Linked DNA regions of Bombyx mori. The protein of the gene in region 1 interacts with the protein of each later gene in a pairwise test. Links are inferred from orthologs where the notes say so. Each region holds a gene or a part of one and is shown on either strand. Other genes may lie near its edges. The genes, in order: filamin-A and AMP-activated protein kinase beta subunit.

Region 1 (10,158 bases):
AGGGGACATTATCGCCCACTTTAGGAAACGTTGATCTATACTATACTCTAATGTAGTGTATCGTTATTTTCCTGTAGATGCGAGTACCGGGATGTCCGCTAGTGTTGCCGGTGTCGGAAGGGGCAGGGGGGGCGGCCCGTGTGTCTGTCCCGGGCCCCGCACGGCTGCACCACCCCGCCGCGCTCACGCTGCACCACGCCACCGCCACGCTCGACCAGATCGAAGTCAATGTGGAAGGTAACACCCACCAATGCATATTAAACTTCGACAACAATACAATTTCAGTGGTATTATCTGGATGCTAATAGAAGAATATTTCTAGCGTCGTGCGTTCGTGTTTTTGGGACATGTTAACCGTCATTCCCAATATCATAGCGACTTTAAACTCACGTTTTAAAGTAAATATTTTTATTTTTTATTGCCCTCCTAGGCAGACGAGCATACAATCCACCTGATGGTAAGTGGTTACCGTCGCCCATGGACTTCAGCTATGCCAGAGGCTGGGCAATAGCGTGTATTGGTGTTTGGATGGAACATGAGCTAATTAGAGCGACAAGAAAGTGTGCCACATCGGTCAGTAGTGTGCTACTCGTAAAAATTGAATAAGAATCACATTTACAAATTACAATAATTAATTATGAATCCAGTGCGTGTTTTAAATTTTATGCGATTACATAAATATTATAATATCACATTACATATGAATTAGCATAGGTAAAACATAAATGTGTAGCTACATGTGAATGTTTCTCATTATTTGCAGGGCGGTTTAAATGAGAAAATGGTCCATAAAAAAATTGGATACAGAATAAAGAGAATAGAAATTAACTACCGTAGAATCATGATAGTGGAATTACGATAAAAAGAAGTAGACAACGTAGAATTAGGATTATATTCATGCTTTGCAAACTAACAAACGCCACGTACATTTTATCTAATTAACCCTAATATATGTATTCTCTTTTATTTCATATAAATATAGAATTAGGTTTATATGTATTTTAGTTTAGCAGTATGGTAATAAAGTCCAATTTTGTCCATGGCCAATGAGTTTAGCAGTATGGTAATAAATTTCAATGTTGGGTCCAAGTTTTTCAGGATCTTAATAACAAGACATAACAAATCATTTAGTGTTTACGAACAAGCTCATCCGCTTCGCCCTAACTCCTAACATCATGTAATGACGTCAGAGCTATTATTAAATATTTAAAATACGAACTGGGGTAATTCTGGAAATCGCTGACGTCAGAGGTAATATAAATAGCTTAGAATATTTAGTTATTATTCGAAACTGATACATCGGATTCGATGGGAACGGGGATAATGATTTAAGGGGTGTTAGGAAATTTTTAGTTAAAGGGAAATAGTTTAGGTTGGGGTGTTAGGGCGTGGCGGTGAGCTGAGCTATGGACGTGGGGCAGGTCCTAATGGGGCGTCGGTGCCGGCGGCGGTGTCTTCGGCGGGTCCTGCCGCCTTTCGAGCAGAGTTCGTGCCGCGCGCCGTCGGGGAACACAGACTCAACGTTCTTATCGACTCTGTGCCCATTCCAGCCAGCCCCTTCCATCTAAAGGTATGTATATATACATTACCGATATTCAGAATACTTTACATGTGTTTCAATAAGACTAAGGGCAGCCGTTGTAACTATACTGAGATATTAGAACTTATATCTCAAGGTGGGAGGCGCATTTACCTTGTAGATGTCTATGGGCTCCAGTCACCACTTAACATCAGGTGGGCTGTGAGCTCGTCCACCCATTTAAGCAATAAAAGAAAAAAACACTAAGTAATACGCCGTAAATGTGGGAAAAAAAGTTATATGATTTCCCGAAGTATTTTCTGCTCCTAAGACTCCCGAAAATGGACTGATGCGCGGACGCCTCTAGTAATTAAACAACGTCTAGTAATTAAAAACAAAACACAGGCCATCATAATTGGTAGTAGATATGCTATTCGTGCATTAAATCATTCTGCAATTGGATCTCTCATATTGAATGGCCAACCAATTGTCTTTAGTGAAACTGTTAAAAACTTTAACTCTTTCTTAAGCTGGAATGAGCAGGTTAACAATGTTAGCAGCAAAGTTAACTTTGCATTCCATTCACTCAAATTTCTCCAATATTTTTTGCCTTTGGAAACTAAAATTTCTCTTGCCCAAAGTCTCATTTTACCCATTTACCATACAACACACATTAAAACTCTCCTCAATTGCCCTGTTCATAAAACACATGCTTACGCAAAATCGTTTTCTGTACAAGCAGTTATACTTTGGAATTCCCTCCCTCCAAGCATACGAGCGTACAAAACCATAGCAGCGTTCAAGAAATCTGTTAAGGAACATTATTTATCCTTACCATCTTAAATAAATTTTATATATTTATATAATGTATTATAATATAAAGTAAGTATATGTGTGTATGTTATATATATATATATATGTGTGTGTGTGTGTGTGTGTGTATTTGTATGCATATATATTGTTTTGTATCTTGTAATATGTATATATTACTATATGTAATGTTTACTGTATGCACTAGGTTTGTGTTCCTAATTCTTATTTCCTTTTGCGGGTCTACTGAAAGAGATTTCAGCATGAAATAAGTAGTGCCCTTGTACTCTGTATCCTTAAATAAATAAAATAAATAAATATAACATATTGCAACCACAAAAATACATTTGAGTATAATCGATCGATTATTTGTTTCAAAGTTTAAATTGTGTGTCTTAAAAGCTAAGTTATAACATGGAGAGGTTCTATTTCATTTAAAATTATCATCATGCCTAAGGAACAAATAGAATAAGCAACAATAACAATATGTATAATAATAATATTTCATATTCCAGGTATACGATGTATCAGCTATAAGAGTCAAAGATGTGGCGCACGGTACTGTCGGTAAACCTGTCACTTTTTTAGGTTCGTACTAAAATCTAGTTGTTTAATCATTTTTGCTAATTTTCGATGAGTATAATACAACGCTGCTTATTCATCAGTGGAGACAATGGCCGCTGGTCCTGGGAATTTAGAGGTGACGGTGAATGGCGGCCGGGTACCGACTGCGGCGGCAGCGCAAGGAGCTCACACATACGCCATCAGCTTCACGCCGCGGGATCCGAGGCCTCACACCGTTGAACTGCGTTTCAACGGCGATCATGTGCCTGGTAAGATATTTTTATATATTTCAGAGACAGTCATTAGTTTGGTACGCAGCAAACGCAGCACGATTCCCGAGAGACGGCAGCACGATTGCGGTATCATCGGAACTCGGCTAACTTCGTCCTACGAGAGAGCCTAGTCGATGGAGGCGCGTAGACGCCATCGCACTTACCAACCAGCCATCTTGAAGAGCGGTGCCTCCGTCCTAAGAACTGTCATTCGTTTTCGTTTTCCAACGTCAAGAGAAGATTTCTAAATTGTTCTAAGACAACAAACGTGATTGGTGTACTCAATATTTCTCTTAGCTCGATCACCCTATTCGCCCCTACGATGTCTGATGATAATTGTGGTTATTCTGACTTATAAGAGTATACAATGGGTCAGACGAGCAACAGGCAAGGGCTTGCTGAAATTGTTTCTATAAAAAAAGTTATTGAGAAAAGCAACCAACTTCTTAGCATATTGATTGTAATAACTTGTAACCATACTTGAGACCTTTTAGAACTTATGTCTCAAAGTGAGTCGCGCATTTACGCCGTAGATGTCTATGGGCTCCAGTAACCACTTAATATCAGGTGGACCGTGAGCTCGTCCACCCATCTAAGCAATAAAAAAAAAAAAAAAAAAAGTGAACTTTTAGTAAATACAGATATCAGCGTTCTGATGCTATGATTTTGACCTGCAACGTGTATGCTATCTATACCAGGCAGTCCATTCGTGTGTCACGTGTCGGCGCCAGCGCGCGTGATCGGTGCAGGATCGGGCGAGCCTCCGGAGAAGGTGTCGGTTGGTGACGCGTATACGTTCAGCGTCGACTCGCCTACGTCACCGCACGTCGAGGTGCTTGGCCCCGCCAGGAGACCCGTCACTGTGCAAGTGAGTTCCGAGTAATCACGCCACCGGAGTAGAGTTTATCCATACTACCTGGAGCCACTACGTTCATCCACAATGCGTTTCCAGAGATCTTTTTTGGAATAAGCTCCCCTCCACAGTGTCTCCCGAGCGCTAGGACATGTCCTTCTTCAAACGAGGCTTGCAGAGAGTATTAAACGGTAGGCTTGGCTCTGCCCCTTTCATTGCTGACGTCCATGAGCGACGGTAACCACTCACCATCATGTGGGCCGTATGCTCGTCTGCCTATACGGTATTAAAAAAAATCAAGATTCATATCTTTCTGCACAATGCCCTTCTATGTCCTATTCACCTCTCTGTCTCTCTCCAACGATAGAAGAAAACATAAGTTTACGAAGCTGCACGAAAGTCGAGCTTTTCATTACGCTCAGAGAGCTTTCCAGACAAGTGCAGAGGCAACCGTGACAGTATGCAACATTTTGTGCCGATCATGTCTAGATCATGTCTGGTTATGTCTTATGTCTCTGCGATAAGAGAACAAGAATATTAGGAATATATTCTAACTGACAGAAGAGTTTGTAATTGTGTTGCAAACTCACGTAGGTAGGTCTTGTTCGCTTCTGCTGTAATGGCTGCTACCACTGCCCTGTTTGAGACTTCAAGAAAAGTTTCTGGTAGTACACCTTTAATAGATGCGGGAGTAGTCTTGACAATGGGAGCATTTCATTTCTTTTTCGATAGGAAATCGTTGCTGGATCTCGTTAATAATCAAATATTTCTTCCAGGTATCTGCTGAAGAAACCGTAGGTGAAAACGAGGCGAGCAAACGGTACACCATCTCATTTGTGCCTGTTGATGTAGGAGATCACAGTATTGAGGTATTTTCAATTCAGTTTGATTTTTTACAAAGTATCTATTCGTTAGTGGGAATGCTACGTAGTGCTCATCAATTGTGAGTTAGGGTTTTTGTTCTACGCGCTAACATGACAATCTGTCTGGCCCTTAATAGAATCAGAAGTTGCGTATATTGTTTCCTTGTTTCCATCATCAAACCTTACTTACGTCGCGTGATGAGCAGCGGCGTTACTATTACGGTTGTAAGATGTGATGTGCTCCGTACCATCATCGTCTCCAACGAGCTTGAAATACAACCATTTTTCCTCAATATTAATATTAATAACAAACACTTTGTTTTCCGATAACCAGTTAAGACTGGTTGTGTTAGCTTTCTACCCGATTAATAAATAGACCCTGTTTTTATGACTAGGTTCGCGCCGGCGCTTCGGGCGGTCACGTGGAGGGTAGTCCGTTCTTGGTGAAGGCGTACAGCGCCGCGCGGGTCAGCGTCACTGACATCTCGCCGGGTGTCGTCGGAAGACCTGTGTCCTTCACCATCAACGCATCACATGCTGGTACGCTGATTTAATTAGGCTTGGCTGTGCACCTAGCATTGCTGACCACTTTCCATCAGGTGGGCCGTATGCTCGTCTGCCTACAAAGGCAATTAAAAAAATTTTTTACTTATAATACAATCGACAAAACTTTTTAATTCCAACTATTGGTCACCCGGTAGTCGAAAGTCGACTATAACTAATTGAAATTATAAGTTTTAACATTATTATGGTTCTATTGTCAGAGACTTTACTTCTATAATCACAGATTTTCCCAAGCCTACGCTATAGACACATAATATTAATCTATTCTCAATTTGACCATAAAGTCTATGGTCGAAAATAAACAAACGAGTATAATATACGCGTGTGTATGACAAATATATGGTAGTATGGGTAATGTTTTTATTTATTAATTTAACATATTTTTATGCATAGTTAAAAAAAAATAGTATTCGGCCTTTCTCTATATCCTCTGTAAGTTTGGGAAATTTTATACTCTTCCGTCCGCGCTATTTTCATAAAAAAGGGTACACATTTTTTGCTTCACGTATAGATAGATAAGAGACGACGCTACATTCTTATTGTAACAATGTTTTAAAAATAACAGCATTGATCACTTTTTTTTATGATTCGTTCTGTCACAGGTGCCGGCAACTTAGAAATTATCGTAGCCGTTAACGGTCGAAACGTGCCTAATTATGTGCAGAGTGAAGGAAATGCGAGATTCAAGGTAAAGTTGTCATAATTTGTAAAGTAAAAATACTGCTTTCCAATAAGAATAAATATTAATTTTGCTAAGGTTATTATAATTAAATTTTACATTAACCTTCAGTAAGACAAAGTCTTTCGGATTTACCGATTTTCCACCACAATTTATCGTATGTACATAATTATGTATTTTCTTTAATAATATACTGTTAATAGTACACCGCAACATACCTGCTGTATCTTTATCTTTTTCCGGTATTTCTGTAAATTAAACAGTTGCCTGGAAGAGATCACTTTTAGCGATAAGACCGCCTATTGTACAAATGAATCTGTTTGTTGATTGTTTTTTATGTTAATTGTGTTTTAGTGTGCAATAAAGTATATTCTCTCTGTATTAGCGTGAAATGTTGACTCTCGTCGCATATTAATTAATCTTAAGTTATTCAGCACACTGTGGGTTATCCAGGATAGTTTTCGTGGATAAATACCAAGAGATTAGCTTCATAGAATCGGTGGTAAATCGAGACCTAATACAGCAAGCAAAGAGCATCTTTTCGTCCGTTGTACACATAACGTAATACGAGAGAACAAGCAGAGCATATATGTGCTTTCGGTAGCTCAGAATTGGTTGTCTATATATATTATTATAGTACTAGCCGTACTCGCCCGCTTCACTGCGCATTTAAAATTAACATTATTATTTATTGTCATTATTATTAGGGAGTCCAACACTCATATAAATATTAGCCTATCCATTAAATACATGTATTTTCTACATGGATACCAAGTTTCAAGTCAATCGCATTCATGGTTCAGTAGTTATAGCGGAACATCCGTAAAAACCATTGTAGTTTTATATATTAGTATAGATGATGTGTTTGTTTGGTAGGTGAACTTCAAGCCGGTAGAAGCGGCGCCGCACACGCTGTCGGTCCGGTTCAACGGTCACGCGGTTCCGGGCTCGCCGTTCACGTGTGCCGTGTCCGCACCGACCGCGGCGCCGGACGCGCGCGCATCCGGTGCCGGCTTAGTGTCGGCACCGCGCGGTGACCCTGCCGACATACATCTCACCGGCTTCCAGAGTGAGTACAATGTGACAGTTTAGCACAATTTTTTTTCATCGACTTCAGATGATAATGAAGGTGGAGGTTCCCAATTAAAATTCATTGACTGGTTTTTGGTAAAGCGACCAGATAGTTTGATAAAACCAATCACAGTGTAATTTTAGCAAATTGAAAAGCGATCGCGCAGTTGTAACACGTAATTAATTGTGAAGATTGTTTATCAAGATTCAAGGCTATTGTTATATAATATTAAAATGAAATTATATACATACCTATAAATTTTGTGAAAGTTGTATTATCTTAATAATTCAATGACGACAAAAGAAGTATAACTTAATATGGCGGTATGTAACAATCACGGTTTTCTAAATGATGATTGATATACTTATATTTTTTACCAATTTAATTCATTATGCAATTATTTGAAAGGTAGTAATGCAGGCTTTTTTTAAACAATCCGATATCCTATTCGAAATACGCCCACCACTAATTAATTAGTCATTGTCCTAAGTAAGTTAAGTACAACCTGGTCTCGAAATGTATTATATCCATACAATATTTTTTTTGTTAAATTGTGATGATTTATCCGGTCTGCAAGAGAGACAGAGAGCGATTACTTAGAAGAAGAAAACCAACGAATCGGTAATTACAAAGAATACAAAGTTAATGTTTACATTGATGACATCATGAACAAATTGATTGCTTATTGAAAAACACAAACAGTTCATTGTTGACAAACAAAACACAACAGATGTGTCTTTAATTAAGCGTTAACATTAGTGATATTCACACGTCGACTTTTTATAAAATGTCTTTGTATTATAAACTTCACAAAATAGCTCAGTGGCTTGTCTTAAATAATGACTTCAAAATTACTTTCAAAAAATGTAAAATACCATTTATTCATAATTTTCATCATCTCGTTCGTCTAGCGGTTCTTTGGTGAAGTTAAGACTTGTAACACTTTTAATAAAATCAAGTCGTGTAATTAAATCAAACTGTATAATAAAATAAAATGAAACCGGGAAAAAATTTGTAATTAACAAATAAATCAATTGTGGTGACATAGACCTCAAGTCGGTATATGCTTTGTGACATCTATGGTCTCCGGTAACCATTTAACATCAGATAACTTAAGGCTGTTTCTTTTATGGAACCTTTTTTTTTAAACAGCAGCTGAGCCCACAATTTACGTGACCGGCCCGGGTGGGACCAACGTACGAACCCGTGTAACGCCATTAGGTGATGGTCGCTATACAGCAACTTACACTCCGGAGGCTGTTGGACGACACAGTGTGCAAGTGACGTGCGCGGGACGACACGTGCCGGGCTCTCCTTTCACATGCAACGTGTACGATGTACGCCGCGTCAGAGTCACCGGCCTTGGACCTGGAGGTGAGTTCCAGTTTATAACACGAACAATGGCCATAAAAAGAGCTAAGATATTTTGTATCTCTACGTGAAATTCCTATATATTCTTTATTCTAATCACATAAATCTAAGTGGTTTACGGAAAATGAATGCCTTTTCCGCTTCTCTGCCATTTCACATTCACTCCCCAGACCTATCGAACATCGATGTTACTAGGTGATGAATAAGAATTTCTGTAAATCTGTTGCATACGCAACAATTGACCTTGATTAAAGACGTGCGAACGCATAGATCCGAAACAAGAAACTTTTTTGGGTGTTATACAATAGCAATTTTTTATTAAATTCTCTCAATCGATTCACACTAAAAAAAAGCATGATGAACTAAAATAGTTCAGACAGGTACTGATAAATTTAATGATTTGATTTCAGAACTGGAGGGTACATTAGAAGGGCTGAGTTTGGATGAAGGTGTGGAAGAAGAGAGAGGTGTAGAAGTTGGTAAGCCAGTGACATTCAGTGTGGATGCAGCAGGCGCGGGTGAAGGAACACTGGAACTGGTGGTATCTACACCCACTACAACAGTGAAGGCTGAGGTGTGTATGAAAACTATTCTTTACTGCTATTTAAAGTAGAAAATATTAAAAAATTTAATATCTCGTTACCGCTAAGCTAATGGTATTATTCATGTTCCTATAAGAGCCCTATAAATTTTTTATTGTATCCCCGACAATCTTTTAGATTTTGGATATAATATGAACCACGCCATTAATATGAGAATTTTCTGCTATTATTTAGCCGAGAACATCTACTTTTCCAAACACAAAAAGATCGAAATTAATAAAATGTACAACATTTACAGGTAGTGGCTGTGGCCCGTGGTCTGTACGATGTGACTTTTGTGCCAGTTTCTCGAGAGCCTCATCGAGTGTCAGTCACGTTCAATGAACAAGCAGTTCCTGGTAGTCCATTCATTTGCCGCGTCAACGAACCACACACTTATGTACAAATTGGTAAGTTTCGAAATTTTTGATTTTACTGATTATCAATATGATTATGATGAAATGTGTGTTGAAAAACTCATCAATAATACTGAATTTCTAGGTGGAGTTGCAACAGTGGAGATCGACGAGAGTCTTTCAGACGTAGACGTAATATCTCCTACTGGAGTGCGTGTTTCTGATGCACAGCTCGAGGACACTGGTCTCCTAACGTTTCCTGCGAGTCGTGTTGGTAGATATGTTGTCAGAAGTGCAAAGGGACCGGTGGCGGAAGTCGAGGCTGTTGATGCCACTGCTGTAAAGGTGTTGTCTATTGGAAATGCAGTGGTTCACCGACCAGCTATATTGACCGGTAATCATATTTAATATATGGGTAATGTTAATAAATCGAAATAGATATAATAAGAGCGGCTTTCAGAAAATAGTTGACAATGTTCAAAGCTTAAAGGTTTATATTACATAATTAATTAGTTACGCCATTATGGGCCTGTTCAACCTAAGCTCAGGCAGTTGAATTCACGTATATCCAATCTCATGTCACAAGTGCAACATAAGTGTGAGTAAATTTCAGTGAGCACGCATGGCGCGGGTGCCGGTCGACTGTCTGGTCGT
Region 2 (10,748 bases), on another chromosome or scaffold:
AGTAATGCGTTTCGGTTTGAAGCGTGGGGTAGCCGTTGTAACTTACTTGAGACCTTAGAACTATATCTCAAGGTGGGTGGCGCATTTACGTTGTGGATGTCTATGGGCCCCAGTAACCACTTAACACCAGGTGGGCTGTGAGCTCGTCACCTATCTAAGCAATAAAAAATCGTAATTTTGCTTACCAAAAATAAGTCCCGCATTTTTGAAGGCGTCAGGCATAGCTAGTATCCCCGTTCCTATATTACCTTTAAGAAGATGAATCATTGTATCAAAGTTTGATGTTGGATATTCTAAACACCTTTCTGATGCAGGGCAATAGTCGCCTTTTGTTTTCTCAGTTGAAGGACCATCATCATTTATCACTGGTTCGGTTGATTGTATTTCAATTACATTTTCTGGACTGTTTGGTCCAGTTAGGAGTGGCTGTTTTTCATCGCTCATAGCTTTCAATTTAATTTTAACGTTTTTGTGAAGTAGACACTTTTCATTAATTTTTTATGTTATTTAATTGAATACGAGTAGTCACACCAATGTTTTATGAAATTAATAAACATAAAATTATTCAAATTATTAGTCTCGAGATTGAGAAAAATATATGTAAATTAACGCTGTATTATTAAGAATCAGATTGGCCTATATTCAATATATTAGTCCAAAAAATATAGGTAATACTCTCCTAAGAGAGCATAATATTAATAAGAGTATTTTTTGTTGGAACTAATCGTAATTTTATTATTATATTTTAAGAGCTATAGTTCATGATTTCAGCTCATTGATTGCACTCATTGCACTGGATCGCACTCTCAGCTTTGCTTTGCCTGACTTGTCCTATGAAAATAATTGCGCTCAGCCCATAGATTATACACTTAGCTCAGCCGCTCAGCGCTCACCAAACACCAAATGTAAGTAATGTTTTTCTTAAAGATTTTGTGGCATGGCAACGGGACCTTTAAGTCTAGTCTTTTTTCTTAGATTCTAATAAATGAAAAATGATATGAAACGAAATGAGCTGAATTAATTTGATACTTTAATCAACTGGGATGAAATGAAATGAAACTAGATGAGATGTAACGAAATAAGGTCTCAGTAAAGAACCAGAGAAGGTACGTCCAAGGGATTTGTTTCTTTTTTTCAAATTGGTGCACTTTCACCGATGCTAAGCTGATAATAAACCACAGTTATTACACATTTTAATCCGAAACAACAGTAAATAAACAAAAGGAACAAATTAAATAAATAATTTTAATGTTAAAAAAACTTTTACTAATTAATATTGAGTCTGATTTTCTTTGGTGGATCGTAAAAGTTTGAAGGAATGTATAAAGATTTTTGGAGTTTACTCCTTAAGAATCGATTTACATATATAGGCCCGGGGTATGAAAATTATGGGGACCAAAATCGTACTAGAGAGTATAGCATGTCACACGAAATGCGTTATGCGCCTGATTGGCTCCTGATTGCGTGATGCGTGCGCGCGCCAATCAGGAGCCAACGCGCGGCCGCGTTATCGCAGGTGACGCCGGGCTGCTGCGCCGGCAGTCCGCCACAAAGCCTCGTACTGATCGCGCGTTTCTCTCATTATTGTATTTTCATATATTTGTTAGTCGTTTGTTTTGTGTCTCGTTAATTTGTTAATAATCTGTAGTGTATCGTGTTGTCGTAATATAGAACTATTTCTCGTATTGTTTCGTTTAATTTACCGACATCGTTTTGCTTGTGGCCGGACGCCGTTCGGGTTCGATTCCTGAACGTATCAACTGTTAGTGGGTTGATACCCGAATATAACCCGCTACAAATCATTTATTAATAAAGCTTATTAAATATAAACAATTCCTTCTATCAGTGAATGGACAACTTATATATTAATTGTAAAAGTGAATTATATAGACTTACTTAATTACCGCATCCACGTGTTCCGCAACTCCCGGATCATTCTCACTAGAATACGTAACTTCCATATTTTACTGTATTCAACTGACACAAATTTATATTTATATCCAGTAAACTCCAGTCGTGCGTCGGAACGGACACACACACTTTTTTTTTATTTTATTTTTATTGTTTAGTTGGACGACCTCACAGGCCACCTTGGTTACCGGAGCCCATAGCCATCTACAACGTAAATGCGCCACCCACCTTGAGATATAAGTTCTAAGGTCTCAGTATAATAGTTACTAGTATTTTATCATTGAAAGCATTTATGTGAGAAATTAACTGTGACGTAGACAATACACAAATGGTACACTTAGCCCTTTAAAACTGCAAATAAACTGCACAGCAAGAGCCCATTGCCATTTTGTAATATAAAAAACTTGTGAGCCATCGCAGGACGGTTGGCAGATGTACTACTACTAGTGCGTTGGCGCTATGACCTTCAAAGTGGGTCTTGGCGTCCGAAAATTAGCACCGTCACTCGGACTGACACTTGAAGATCGCAGCATCAGACCAGCGGTACTTGGGCCACCCCACGGGAAGGCGCCTCTCCGGTACATCCGCGTACACCCGCTTCATGGACCAATCCACACTACATGTTTGAGCCACCTGAGCCTTTGCATCCTTATCTTCCCTAGATTAATTTACTCACCAAAAAGTTCCTACACATCTTTGTTTTTCCGAACGTGCCAAACACCGTCATATTTCTGAGCTCTCTCTAGTAGCAACCTCTAACATTCTCACAAGCTTCCGTGAGGTTTCAAAGCTGGTGAGGATTACACAATATAGAGTCGGTCTATCAATACTGTAATAGACCGTAGCAAAATCTACAAAAACCGAATGTACGCTTTATGCGTATTAAAATCTTTTCTCAGTGAGTTTCTCAGTCTCAAGATTTTCGCCTTCGTCATCAAGAAATTGAATGGTTGGTTGGTATGCTTTCTTTACCGATCTGACCTCTTGGTAGAATTTTCGAGCCTCATTCGTTCTTATTAGGCTTTTCTTACACTTGATGATGTCACTCATATGCTCTCGCTTGGCTATTCTAATAACTTGTTTAGTCTTTCTTCGGACTTTCAAATATCCGTCTCGCCATTTATTTTCTTGCCACGAGCATTTTTTTTATAATACGCTTTTTTCGCTCTTCTTCTGAAATAAAAGTCGTTCAAAGTAAAGAAAACTTAATGAGTAAATATTTGTAGAAGAGCATGCTATGAAAGTACAAGTAAATATCACCATTCTGTTAATTTCTGCCAAGGCTACCAGTCAATAGGTAGGGAAAAAAGTACTATTAAACTACTGGTGATCCGGAGGCTTTGCCAGTTTCATCAGCCAGGTGATCTCGTGTGTTCTAATAGAGTTACGATAGCAAAGTAGGTAAGGTAGGTAGTAAGTAGGTGAAGGTAGGTAGGTAATTAAATGGGTACCTAAAATCACATTTCTTCTCTCTGATGATAGATTTTACAATATGAGATACCTTTCGATCCGTAGCAAAAGCATATCGACTGAGAGCAAGTTAAATGTGTCAAGGATTAATCTTTTGGTCTCAGTCAATGACCATCATTATACTGAGATTATATTTCATCCCATATCGTCTCATTTCATTTCATTTCATGCCATGTTTCATATTAATCAACTTCATTTCACTTCATATTACCATTTTTCATATATAAAAGATATAAGTTGGGGAAAAAAGTCTTTTCGCATTATGTGTATGAAGTTGTAATAAAATCTCTTTGGCTATACTATTTGTATCTGGCTGGTTGTGGTATCATTAAAAGTTTAAATTTTAAAGAAGATATTTCTAATTCAAATTAGGAAAATGTGTGATTTTTATTTATTTTTCGTACTGTCAAGGTGAGTGAACCTAATGAAGAAATTCGATACGTTTGAAAATTTTCCTACAAAAAAGGTAAAAATGCAACGCAAGCCGCGAAAAAAATTTGCGATGTTTATGGACCTAGTACAATGTCTTGAGAGTAGCACAAATTTGGTTTAAGCGGTTTCAATCCGGTGATGTCAAAGATGCACGTTGCTATGGCCGCCCTATTACGGATAAAATGGATGCCATTTTTGAAAAAGTGGAGCAAGATCGGTTAGATATCAGTAGTTATGACGTAGCTGAAGAACTGGGAATTGACCACAAAACAGTTTTGGCGCATTTGAAAAAACTGGGTACACAAAAAAGCTCGATATTTGGGTACCTCACGAGTTCATTGAAAGAAACCTAATGAACAATGCACTCATTTGTGATTCTTTATTACGACGTCATGAAACCGAACCATTTATGAAGAAGCTGATAACTGGTGATGAAAAGTGGATCACGTACGACAAGAACGTGGGAAAAAGGTCGTGGTCAAAGGCCGGTCAGGCTTCACAGACTCTGGCGAAACCCGGGTTAACTCGCAACAAGGTGATGCTGTGTGTGTGGTGGGATTGGAAGGGCATTATACATTATGAGCTGTTACCACCAGGCAGGACCATCGATTCTGAACTCAACTGCGAACAACTGATGAGATTAAAGCAAGAAGTTGAGAGAAAGCGGCCGGAATTAATCAACAGAAGGGGTGTGGTTTTTTATCATGATAACGCTAGACCTCGCACAATTTTAGCCACTCAGCAAAAATTAAGAGAGCTTGGCTGGGCATCTGCCGTATAGTCCTGAGCTTGCACCTTCAGATTTTCACCTGTTTCGGTCTCTTCAGAATTCTTAAGCAGTGTCAGGTTAGCATCACGAGAGGATTACCAAAACCAATTGTCGCGGTATTTTGATCAGAAGCCCCAAAATTTCTATAGCAATGGGATCATGTCCCTACCTATAATATGGCAAAAAGTTATCGAACAAAATGATATCTACATACTTTAGTTAAATGTAAATAAACTATATTAAAAAATGTTGTGAATTTTCTTAAAAATGCATAGAAACTTTTATTTTACTTTATTTATATATAAATAAAGTAAAATAAAATTAAATAAAACATTACACTGTATGGTATGACACTTTTACCTTTCCAGTTGGAAAAAAAAAAGTACTAACTATACTCAACTATACTGACAGTGTTGACACTTGACACACTTCTGTTAGCTTTGTTCATTTGTTGAACAAAGTTTAACATAATAATTAATTAAACAAACCTACATACATATAACCATGTAAGTAATTTTTTTAAAGAATGTTAGGTATTAAATTACAAATACAATTTTTTAAAATTTTCTTAGTTGAAAATTAAATGGGGAATGCCGGAAGTAACCAACCCAAAGAATGGCATAAAGATGCTAACAAATCGCCTGATCATGATCAAGGACCTTCATCTCCAGCCAAAGAAGGGGAAGCCTTCACGTTTGATAAAAAGCTAGACGATGATCGAAGTAGTCGAGATGATGACAATAATATAGAAGATGGCGCTCCTTATTATACTAAAGCAGTACCTGAAAGTGATATTGAATACACTGAACAACGTGAGAGATCAAATACTCTCACCGATGGTAGTAAAATAGTCGACGATATTAAAGTATTACCAACAGTTTTCAAATGGGAAGGAGGTGGAAAACAAGTAAGTAAAATATATGTACTGGTGTGGTGACAATTAATTAAAGAAAGTAAACAATATGTATGTATGTATAAGGTTAATGACTAATAACCTGTAAAGCGCAGCTTCTTCGTTGTATCATTATAAGAAAGCTTTATTTGATCATCTATCCTCTCATGAACAAGGTCACAATAGCTGTTTTTGTTTAATAGATAGGTACACAAGCTCATGGCTCGGCTAATGTTTCTGGTGAAGTTGAAGTCTCAATTGTACTGTAAAGCTCCCACTCTTCCAACTGGAATGAATGAATGCTTTGTAGAATTGGGAGGATGACATTACTACTGTCTTGGCTTACAATATGTTTAACTACCAGTAATTATGCATATTATAATTTTAGCAGATCTAATACTGAAATTTGTAAAATGAGAGAATAGGTTACTTGAATATTTTGGAGCTGAAACAAAGGACAACACTTAAAAAAGTATAGTGTAGGAGATGCATCAAAGTCAATATTGCCAATTGCTACTCTGACATGATGACTGTTGACACTGGCATTTTACAAAGATCTATGTTTTCCCCATGTTTTCATCTTGGTGAACTAAATCACCAGGGAGAGATATGTTTTCCTTTAATGGAAAACTTCCCGAATTATATTTCTGAATAGAGGGAATGAAATTTAATTCAGATCAACTCCATAAACAGTTTTGCATGCTCACTGCAAAGAATAGCTAAGTGTCATGTTGCTAATATTCCAAGAAGTGTCTCTATAAACTTTGAGATAACTTTTTGAATATTTTGGTTTTCAAGTAAGTAGAAACGTAAAGCTAAGTTGATTTTGAAATAGTTGTAGAGTCCTCAACTGAGCAAGTAGTAGTTTATGAGTGTTACTTTATGTAAGTTTATCGAAAGACTTGATGTGATGGGCCCTTGGGCCACCATTGGGTTTTATGAAGGGTTTATACTTCACTACTATGATTGTATAGTGTTTTTATGTTGCAGGTATTTATTTCTGGAACATTTACAGATTGGAAAACTATTCCCATGGTAAAATCACATGGTGATTTTGTTACAATAATAGATTTACCAGAAGGTGAACATCAGTACAAATATTTTGTTGATGGAGAATGGAGGCATGATCCTACAGTGGTAATATCAATAATATTTAACACAGCGATATTAGTTTACTAATTCTTATACTAAGTACTTTGTGTTCTATGAATTGTGCAAGCAGTAGCCTCTGCTTTCCCAATTTATATCAAAAGGTTTATTTATTTAATTATTTATACATGAATGTAGACATAAATAGTATGCTACTCACCTGCAGAGGAAAAACCCTAAAAAGCATATGATCAAGGATACATTATATTGTATTCCTTGAAAAAATATGATTTTTCTAATCTGAGGGACCAAAAGTTTCTCGAATATTTAATTGATAAAATTTTAAATCATAGAAATTTTTCAAAAGGTCGATAATGGGGACCAGGTGCAGAATTCAGTAAGTCAAATAATTAAATACCAGTTAGTCATCACAGTATGCTGGAATATTAATCAGATAACACTGATAACCATTTTCTGGTGATTCCCTTAATCCAACTTGGCTTGGTTGATGCTATTCTAGGCCAAACATCAGATAACTGAAATTTTTATTAGATATTCATGGATTTCAGAAAGTAATTGACAATGGAATGGGGTCCAAGAATAATTTAGTAACAGTAAAAATGTCAGATTTTGAGGTATTTCAAGCATTAGCCAAAGACAGTGAGGGTATCCACAGCAGTGCTCAGACTGAATATTCACAGGTAATAGGTTTTTTATTCTCATAAATATAAAAAGTATAAACCTTAACATTAAAGTGTCTAATAAGCAAACAACCTCAATGAATGACTCATGTTTCCTTTCATGCAGATTAAGTGTGCTCTTTATTGTTAGTTACTTGTTGAAAACTTATTGTATAATAATATCTATTTTAATTTTCCTGTTTAATCAATTTTTTCAATTGAATGATAGACCTCGAAACATGTATTTAATCTTATTCTGATAATTTTATTTTGTTAAATTATAATTGTTATAATAAATTTGTTTTTTAAAATTGTTAAATAATAAAAATTATATAATAATAAAAATGGTTTTTTATAATTTTTATAATAAAATTGCTATAATAAATTATAATTGTTATTTAACATGTCAGGAATTATGTTTGTTTCTGATTCACAGGAAATCCCACAGTCCAAACCATGGGAGAAAGTGTCTGGTCCACCAATATTGCCACCACACCTCTTACAGGTTATACTTAACAAGGATACTCCACTTTCTGTAAGTCAATTTTTCAATTATAAACATGACATTAAAGGTTGAAGTGTGCACTTTTAAATATCTTTATTTTTAATTTTCATTAAAATATGGAGTGAATTTAAAGAAATGGACTACATAATTGATTTTCTGAAGATATTCATGATGTGGTGCCTGACAATTATAGTAGTTTTTAATAATAGTTTGTTCAGTCAAGAGTCATTCAATCGACCTATTCAGACGCAGTGTCTTTCTGTGTTTTTCAGTGTGAGCCGACTCTACTTCCGGAGCCTAATCATGTGATGTTAAATCACTTGTATGCTTTGTCAATAAAAGATGGAGTTATGGTACTGTCTGCAACACATCGCTATCGCAAGAAATATGTTACCACTCTTCTATACAAGCCAATTTAATACTTTTGTAGTGGCAAATTTGTTGTTTTTTATCAAGTAGGACTAATGCTTTCCTGTTGTAAAATTATGTTGTTATCGTTTTGTTTTCATGAAATGCAAACATGCAATTAATATATTATTATAATTATAAAAATGCTATTTAATATAAAGATAGTCAGTATTTGTGTAGTTTAGGTAAAAAAAAAAAATTGTGACTTAAGGAAACTTGTTGAAAGTTATGCAACAAAGATGGTATTTTAAATTGGTTTGAAGCTTGTTAGTGTATGGCTTTTTAACTGCAGACATTTTTAATAGTGATTGTTTGTGTAAATCCTTGAAACAAATATTCATTATTTAAACTACTCTTGTTAAATGGATTGCCTAATATGTATTACATATTTTACGACAAAGCGATAAATGATGTGGTATTAGTGTCTTAAAAAAAATATCAAAAAAAACTTAGTTCCGAGCAAAGTGATAAATGCAGTCAAGTATTAATAATTATGTATGTACCTCTTAGTATTAGTAATATCCGGAATATAGGGATGCTGTTTTCAATAAAAAATATTGAAAATATCAATTAAGAAAGAATTTTATAAATCTGCTTAGGAACAACTAAGTTGAAAAAAACCTTTTAAACTAAGTGGTAGGAGTAATTATCAAACAACAAAAGAATTCATATAACGAATCACGACGTCACTGTGATTAACGAGCAGCCGGCATCTAAAATATTTCAATTCGCATACCCAAATAGAGTAAAAAATTAATTACTACGTCATCTAAGTCTAATGTCGGTGGTTTATTAGTTATTAATTTCGTAAAAGTCTGGAGAAGGCAATAAAATGTGGTAATAAAATAAAACTTCCTCATTTTTCATGCCTATTGGGGACGGTATTGCGCTATTTTGAGCGTATTTGTCTTAATAAACAGCGGATGGGCATGTGGTATGTGAGAAACCCCCGCGGTTGGATACTACCATCCTATTTCTGCCAAGCAACCACATGTGCCCGTTTAAAGTACAGGACAACTATCGTATTTATGAAACTCAGATTTTAATTTTGTCTCAAGGCGCATTCACGTTCTGTGTGGTTAGTACCTACGAGTTTTTTAACTTCCCGATTTCGGTTAACTCGAAATTTGTATGAAGTTGGAACAGCGCCCCTAGCGGTAAACGAAGAGAAGCTTTTCAAACTCCTTACAAATTTGAGTCACCTTTTACTGGTATCTTCAATGGCTCCGGTATCTCTTTTAAATAGACTCGTGTACCCACGTCATTTTTTTTATAACTTCTATCTTTTTATAGAACAACACGTGGCAGTTTCATGTCCGAAGGTTTTTGTTTTTTGCACAATATGTCAGTATGCCGAGTAATTTGCTGCTGTATTATAAAGTTAATGAAATTCGCTGATATTCTCGTATTAAAGATAAATCACATTAAATGATTTTATATAAGGCATAAGATCAATTAAAAAAAAATTGCTTATTTACGAGCCACGACTCGTAGGAAATCAATCTGCGAGAGAGATTGACGTCAAATCAAGTGATCAATACCACAAAAAATCGCCCCTTTCAACTTAAGCGTCGGCTTTTTATTTTTACATTCAAATCTAAAAATAAGAAAACAAGAAAATGAGGTGAAATCAGGAGAGCTGAAAAGAAGAATCACAATTAATTTATTTCTAAGATATAGGTACGTTCATTCAACGAAATTTCGACATGGGTGTATTGTTTTCCCTCTGTATTGTGATTGAGAATGTTGCTATAATAGAATTATTTTGTCCGTGCAGTTTGGGTAATAAAAAAATCGGAGCGGTGAAGCGAGTATTTCGCTCTCTCTTCCACTTACGAGCCTTATGGACGGGCATAGTGATGCGCATTCTTGTTTTCGATAAGCGTTATCGATAGTGTATTTAGTTTTGTCATTTTGTGGGTTTGTGATAAAAATGAAAGAAAAAATCACTAATCGAACACTTACACCACATATCGCCGCAGGTAGTTAACGAGAATGGCAGAAATTAACACTTTCTAGCTTTTCGGGATCTATTCTTATTTCAGTGAAAAATTTTAACACATTGTTGATAACAACACGTGCAAATATTATTTTGAATAAATCTGCCGTTTTGATATAAAACAAAGGAGTTGCCATTGTTTCACTAAAGAAATTCAGAGAACGAATGCATAAAAACACATTTCTCTTCGACATAATGTACTATAATTTGCAGGTAAGTACAAATGACTCTTAACATAACAATGTCTCACCACCCTTCGTATACCACCCCGCCGCCGTGTACCTGCCTTCGATGACTCATTTATTTTTATCGATAATGGCGTTGCGCCCGAGCAACATGCTCACCGCCCTAGCCGGGCTATATTTTATGACCCAAACTGCACGGACAAAATAATTCTACTGTAGTTAATTGTATGAAGGGCACGAAGAATTCTTGTCACGGTTTGAATTTGAATTTTTTTTCGAAACCGTAAAGTACTTTTTTATAGCCGACAATCTTAGTATGTTGGGTAGCTGCTACTGCGTTTGCTGTATTTGTTACAGTTACTATAGTTTAATGAGGTTCAGTGCTCTGTGATACACAAATAAAAAAAA

What was found.
Region 2: the proteins of filamin-A (region 1) and AMP-activated protein kinase beta subunit interact in a two-hybrid assay, tested with the Drosophila melanogaster proteins (2 studies listed by BioGRID). The link is inferred for Bombyx mori from reciprocal best matches to the Drosophila melanogaster genes jbug and alc.

What each region holds. Positions count from the first base shown.
Region 1 is NC_085121.1:10,248,552-10,258,709, reverse strand, and holds part of filamin-A, read left to right. Parts: intron 1-77; coding exon 78-237; intron 238-1,421; coding exon 1,422-1,570; intron 1,571-2,844; coding exon 2,845-2,917; intron 2,918-2,994; coding exon 2,995-3,162; intron 3,163-3,863; coding exon 3,864-4,033; intron 4,034-4,794; coding exon 4,795-4,887; intron 4,888-5,276; coding exon 5,277-5,421; intron 5,422-6,047; coding exon 6,048-6,133; intron 6,134-7,000; coding exon 7,001-7,193; intron 7,194-8,348; coding exon 8,349-8,570; intron 8,571-8,977; coding exon 8,978-9,141; intron 9,142-9,407; coding exon 9,408-9,558; intron 9,559-9,649; coding exon 9,650-9,898; intron 9,899-10,117; coding exon 10,118-10,158.
Region 2 is NC_085118.1:8,961,082-8,971,829, reverse strand, and holds AMP-activated protein kinase beta subunit, read left to right. Parts: upstream 1-5,165; coding exon 5,166-5,489; intron 5,490-6,464; coding exon 6,465-6,611; intron 6,612-7,132; coding exon 7,133-7,264; intron 7,265-7,679; coding exon 7,680-7,778; intron 7,779-8,020; coding exon 8,021-8,167; downstream 8,168-10,748. Other genes in the region: proton-coupled amino acid transporter 2, read right to left, coding at 186-444.